2 linked regions of the Saccharomyces cerevisiae S288C genome follow. The gene in region 1 interacts genetically with each later gene. Each region holds a gene or a part of one and is shown on either strand. Other genes may lie near its edges. The genes, in order: AYT1 and DDI3.

Region 1 (4,051 bases):
TGACATTTCCTTTTTCGGTCAAAAAGAATATCCGAATTTTAGATTTGGACCCTCGTACAGAAGCTTATTGTTAAAGCCCATACTCAGTCTGTTCTAAACGGCTTCCATGGAAGAAAAATAACTATATTATAGCTTTCCTAAAAGTTTAATTAAGAATAGCAGACATGTGTTGGGAGTCGTATATTGTTAGAATCTGTAGTTTTAGGTGTTCTCAGTAAATTCATTGAAACAATTGCGTACTTGTAGGCTTCTGAGAAGCAGATAGTAGTCAAATAGTTGATATCTAAAGAGCTGCCGAAGGGGGTTTCTGTATCCGCGTAAGTAATTTTTTGAAATTTTAATGTGATTTTTGGCGGAATGGTGTGAGTGGTTCACTTCTCATCTTCAATTTCATCGTCTTATATTTCGATAATAAAACAATACAGTGAGCGTTGTTATTAAGTAAATCATAGGCACTTGGTATCATATAATTCAAAATCAAGTAGTTGTAGTAGTGCGTGTGTGCGTGTTAGTAATTGTTGATGGCCTAGTTCATCTCCTTATTGAAAAATGATAAACAGGTGGCAGTTTCAATTGTAGTAAATATTTATTCATTTTTTTATTATTGCTAACGTATCTGAAGGCTACGATGTAACGCAGCTCATCTCTTTTAAACATAAAAGTCATTTGTGTAATGTAGAGATTTACAAAGATTTTAAAAAAATAACAAAACTATACAAAACTATCTATATTTGAATACTTCCTACTATTTTTTTTTTTTTAACTATAATGAATGAATGCATGCCATATTGACTTACGTAACAAGGTGGCCTATTGGTAATATATTACATATCATCATCCTATATGTGTAGCATAATTTGTCCATTCTTTATCCGCATTCAGGCACTCCCAATCTTTATCTCTAAGGCAAAGAGCAACCACCATTTCACCTCTGGAGGATCTAGGCATAAAATATATTAGGCTCTCAAGGGAAATGAAGCGCGGCCGTCGTACACTCTTGGGCTTCCCAAGCCCTAGATTGAAATCAACGTCATACAGGCTGACTTTTGCCCACGAACTGACCATAATTCCAGATAAAGTATCAATTGGTTGAGGTATAGAAACCTTAGTCTTGTCCGGGCATCGGCTAAGGAGCGTAGCAAGTGCGCATGTATTATAGGCCAAATCGAAGACTTTAGGGTCTAGCTTCCTGCGAATCTGTGATGCAAGAACGCCCAAACTTTTATGATCCAAGCTTTTCAGGGAACCTGTATTAAAGGTCATGTTGACTAATAACCCTGGATACGTTTCGGGGAGTCCTAGCCGTTTTCTAACATCCACAGCACGCCCTAAATTTGATTTCGTTTCTGGTTTAAGTCGAGATAAACGGGCTCGAGAAACTGATTTCCAGATGAAAGCAGTGACGATATCATCAGTGGAGACAAATTTTGTGCCAGAAGTACATGTCTGCATTGCCAAAATCCTCAGATTCTGCAATGAGATAGCAGAAAATTCAACATAAGCCCAAGTAGAGTTCGAAGAACAAGACTGTTCCTTTTCCTCTCCACTTGTATTTCTAGAGGTTTCCACTATTTCATGAACTAGCGTGGTGTCGGGTTCCCAAGTTTCATCAAACAAAGGAATAGATTTGCTTTTATCTATATTTCCAATGAGCAGTTCTTCATCAGAGAAAGGTTTTTGGTGGCAAGATTTATTGAGCAAGTTGATGATACTTTCCTGTCCTGTTATATCCATAATATTGTGCTGCCCGACAATAGTTAAGACGAGGCCGCCGGAGATAAAGTTTGCTTGAACTGCAAATACAGGCCCACTCTTGGCGGCCATACCTATAGTGTTTCCAGGTGGATTGATAGTCATGCAAGGCGCAAAAGTCTTTTCGTCTAACATGTAGATAGGAAAGTCAGCTTTTTCAAGCGAATCCATTGTTGGGGCAGACAGATCTTCTCGAAGATCTTGGACGATAAGTGGAATTTTGTCTGACGGGACAATTCTGTAGGTACCAGTGTTACCTTCGTCAGCACCTTCATTTACGACATTTCCTGCTAGCCACTGGAAATTTTTAGCCAATGTTTCAAGTCCTCTTGTTAAGGTATTTACGATATGGTCATGAGCAGAAGGATCTGGTACACGGTAGATAGAGCATATTTGAGTGTATAGTTTGTATAGCGAAGGTTGTTGTCCCAAAATATCAAGTTGATCGTTTTCTAGCATCTGTACACTTTTTGTACGTTTCTGAGAGATGATCTTGACTCTAAACATCCATCTACCTTCAAAGTGAAATTTATAGTCACGTCCGTCATTATGCACGTCTTAAACATTAAAATCTTGATAAATACACTGTAAAAGCTTTAACGTTATTGGAATAGAAACTCTCATCACTCAGAGACCATCAGTTACCTGCAAAACGTTTCATATTTGTATATAAACCATGAGATTAAGTGGTCTGAAATTATGTATCATTTTTTGCATTCTAGCATGCCACAGCAAGGGGGTACACGTATTTTTTGATGGTGAATAAGATAGAAATGCATACCGTGATACTTCAAGCTGGCACTATCTTTATATCTTCCTCCGTATATAGCACTTGAAGCTCTGTATCTAGAATATCCTCTTTAGTCCGGGACGTGCCTCCAAATACTTACGGATTGGCGAAAAATATGCACTGAAATGTGTGCAAATTAACCAAAATAGGGCAGGCAGTAAAAAGTTCTAATGATTTTTCTATTTGATCAAGATAAAATAACCTTCTGCTGAGGACCGCACATTGACGTATATACACTGCTTTTAGTTTTGTAGATACAAGATATTTGTTAAAAGAAATTGAATTAGGAGTATTTATCTACAGCTGATGCAATTTCGGCGATATCTTTAGGAGACGTTCTACAACAACCGCCAATAATGCGCGCACCATTATCAACGAATTTCTTAACCGTGGTCTCCCAGTCATCCAACTTATTAGTCGGCCGGTGCCATGTCTTCTCTTTGGGATTGTAGATTTCTCCACTGTTTGGGTAAACTAGCAGAGGCATGCCAGGTAGATGCTCGTGCAACATTTTAAGAATTAATGCCGATTGATTGAAACTGACACAGTTAACTCCCATTAATAAGAGATTCTTGTTAATTTTATTTCCGAGGCCTTTTATATGGACAGAAATTTCTTCCAAAGTGGTACCGTCTCGTAGCAAACTATTGTCATCCACCGACAACCCAATATAAAAGGGCTTCGAAATAATATCTTCATCCCAGGATAAAATAGCCTTTAACTCATGAAAATTTGGAATCGTTTCAAAACCAATAAGATCAATATCTCTATTTTGGTTGAAGTTCTCCAGCTGGGGTTTGAAAAAGCCGTAGTAATCAATATTCTCAGGATGGGGACCATAGTCACCAGTATATTCACAGGATACATGTGCTGCCCATGGGCCAATACTCCCGATTAAGTACCTTTCCTCACCAATAAATTCACGAGTAAATGACACGATTTTATCGAGAAAACGCTTGTAAGCAGCCAGAGTTTTAATCGAGGTATTCTCAGATATGCTTTGAAAGTTTGCCTGGTAAGTAATTGTCATTAATATGTTTGCGCCAGCAATCATAAAGTCTCTGTACATTTCTTCTACCACCTTTCGCTCTTGAGAAGATGGCTCCCAAAAGGATTCGCTCGTAAAAGGAGCTGCAGACCATACCGGACTATTTATGTTAATGCCTCTGTTTTCCAATTCTGTACCCTGTCCACCATCAAGGATAAGAACTTTTCCGGGGTGCTCAACTATTAGTTCTTTGATTGGAATGCGCTTCATCTGTTTTTTGATTACTTTTTCAAGTTGCACACTAAAAGTTGCTGATTCAGATTTCTTCTACAACTTGTCTGTTTAAATTATCTTCCTTAGTAGTACATTTTCAAATTGGCGTTGTTGCTGTTTTGCTATTACCATTGAATACCTCGCCACAATTTGGTAGTACTTTCATGCCACAGTTTTTACTTTTCCACAGTTCCTGCAGGAATGGCTTTTTTTCATTAACTTTTTGCGGGGATAGCGAAGAGATGCCA
Region 2 (3,042 bases), on another chromosome or scaffold:
CTCCTCCTAGAGATGCTGTATTCCATGCATATTCTGAACGATGGGTTGGTGTTTTTATCAAGCAAGGTTAATCACATGGCGTGGCTTGCTCCACGCATCAGTAGAAAACGCATACCGCAGCGGAATCCTTAAATAATAAGTGATTTTACTGTTCATCAACTACAATCGGACTCTTTCACAATTACCCTTCTTGTTTTCCACATTTACTGTTAAATGAAGGGATGTACAGAAGGCTTAGGAAAACCTGTGCTGAATACTGGATGGACACTGCATTCCCACAGTGAAGCTTTTATAGATACACTGCCAGTTATTTTCGAACTTTCATCAAGTTGCTGAGTTTTAGTATCCCTTTGCCTTAGCTATATGTTTGAATGAGCAAAATATTTGCAATGTCTCTAGCTTTCTTGAAATATTGGTTTATATTGAGGGCTTGGTAAGATTTCAAATTTCATTTTGAAGTGCTCAGGAGAAAAATCATGCTCTTTTGATAATTTGGTGACTAAACATACATAAAACAGTTTAATTTTGGGTGGTAATGGCTGTGTGACTAGCTATAGAAAGAAAAAAATTAAAAAAAAAAAAAAAAATCAAGTAGTTCCTGCACTGCGACGTCCATTATAGCATTATAAATTGGTCCCTGATTTACGCATGCGATAAACTATTTTTAGCGCAGCCGCATATTATCCGAGAATAACTTCCGACATAAGAAAATTCGCAGAAAATAGATAAAAAAACTGCTCTTGGCATTCTTCACTTCCTCTATTACACACTGTGTCATACCACAATCATCTCACAGTATGTATTTGTATGTTTATACATGCTATAACGTAAAACAATGTAGAATATATATCTAAATACCTCACGGTTTTAGTTTAGTGCAGCCCACATACTACTTTTTTCCTTTTGTTTTTTTTTTTTATATTTCAAAGGTTAAACTCGCTTAGACTATGTCTATAATATAAAAAAAAAATAGCTCTATTCCGTTTCTTTTATTCTATTTGATATTTCCATCACACTTTCATCTTAATCACGGATGTATACTGATAATAGGGTTGACTGCGCCTGTACGGATTACAGTGCCCTCTTCAATTGGAAAATCCAAGCTTTCAAGATGGGTAACTGTTATTCAAAGGATCCTCTAAGATAAAACACAGATCGACAGATCCGAGAGTTGGCTTCTGTGCCTTGGGCTCAAATTCCTTTCCCACCTCATGCAAATTGATTTTTCTGACTCCAAAAAAAGACAGAGCCCTGCGATAGTTCCCGAATGTTGTAACATCAAAGCCAAGCACTCCTTTATAGAAGTCGCATGAACGTTGAATACTAGCAGCTGGTGAAACTACAGGGTCTAAACTAACTAGTATCCATATCTTTTTGAGAGCATTGAAAGTATACGGAGTACAAGCTGGGTTAGAAGGAATTTTTATCTTAACAGCAATGAAAATCAACTTTCTAGACTGAATCCCTCAAGAAAATTGCAAAAGACTAACTGATACTGGTTTAAAAGAGAAAGATGTCAAATATGCGGAGTTATACCATCAAACAACTTTGGACGGCCCCGAAACAAATGTCCGCAAAAAAGATCTTATTAAAGTGCATGGACACTATCATTTCTATAATACAAAATACTCCACCGCACAATAGTTTGTCGGGAAGTCATCAATCAATCTTGTACGAGCTTTACAAATAACTTTTTAGGATCGGTCCCCTCATAAAATTATATATAAATGGGTTAGTTTCCTTCTTCTTCTGTTAACATGAAGTTGCTTCGTACTGTTTTTTGCCTTGCTTCTCTTCAAAAGAATCAATCATGTCACAGTACGGATTTGTAAGAGTTCCTAGAGAGGTAGAAAAGGCCATTCCAGTGGTGAATGCACCTAGACCACGGGCCGTTGTTCCGCCTCCAAACAGTGAAACTGCTAGGCTTGTTCGGGAATATGCCGCTAAAGAATTGACTGCCCCCGTTCTAAACCACTCTTTGCGTGTTTTTCAATATAGTGTAGCTATCATAAGAGACCAATTTCCAGCATGGGACTTGGATCAGGAAGTTTTGTACGTCACCTGCTTACTTCATGATATTGCAACAACAGATAAGAATATGAGAGCCACGAAGATGTCATTTGAGTATTATGGTGGCATACTTTCAAGGGAGCTTGTATTTAATGCGACAGGTGGAAATCAGGACTATGCAGATGCAGTAACTGAGGCCATCATTCGTCACCAGGATTTGACTGGGACTGGCTACATTACCACCTTGGGGCTCATTCTGCAGATTGCTACTACGCTTGACAATGTCGGATCCAATACCGATCTGATTCATATCGATACAGTTAGTGCCATTAACGAGCAATTTCCAAGACTGCACTGGTTATCATGTTTTGCTACGGTGGTGGACACTGAAAACTCGAGAAAACCGTGGGGCCACACCAGTTCTTTGGGTGATGATTTTTCAAAGAAAGTCATATGCAATACATTTGGGTATAACTAAATAGGTAAGTTTCAATGAGGCGAGTTCAGAATGAACAGTGATGATCTCCTTTCTCCATAACTATACTATACGTCCCTTTTATTTACTGTAGTTTTTAAGAACAAATTCTCTGATGAACCAGTCGTGAAACCGTATATCGTTTTCTGCCAATTCCGGATGAAATGATGTCGCAAGAATATTGTTTTTTTGCTTAGCGGCAACAATTAGTTCTTGACCACCATTATCCTTCCCATCTAATTTGTACAGGACCTGCACATGTTCAGGATCCAGCACCTCTTCTATTACTGGGGCTCTTATAAAAGTAGCAGGAAAATCATTGCAGTGAGGAATAAAGTTTGAAAAGTCGCAAATCCGGGTAGAAGACTGAGCTTGTCTCCCAAATGCATTTCTTTTTACTTTAACCTTTAGTAAATTCAGCGTCTTGACCAGTTTTGCTTCGTTAGATAATTGTTGTGAAATATAAATCAAACCTGCACAAGTACCCCAGGTTACCTTGCTTGGGTTGTGTACGAATGCGTAGAGATCGTCGTAAAATCCTGTTCTTTCTGCAATAA

Evidence for each region.
Region 2: mutations in AYT1 (region 1) and DDI3 together harm fitness more than expected from each alone (negative genetic interaction), as found in Saccharomyces cerevisiae (one large-scale study listed by BioGRID).

What each region holds. Positions count from the first base shown.
Region 1 is NC_001144.5:13,814-17,864, forward strand, and holds AYT1 (acetyltransferase), read right to left. Parts: upstream 2,260-4,051; coding exon 835-2,259; downstream 1-834. Other genes in the region: S-adenosylmethionine-homocysteine S-methyltransferase MHT1, read right to left, coding at 2,826-3,800.
Region 2 is NC_001138.5:7,735-10,776, forward strand, and holds DDI3 (cyanamide hydratase), read left to right. Parts: upstream 1-1,810; coding exon 1,811-2,488; downstream 2,489-3,042. Other genes in the region: SNO3 (putative pyridoxal 5'-phosphate synthase), read right to left, coding at 2,567-3,042. UniProt on the Saccharomyces cerevisiae protein: Cyanamide hydratase involved in the detoxification and/or utilization of cyanamide, a toxic nitrile compound distributed widely in the environment.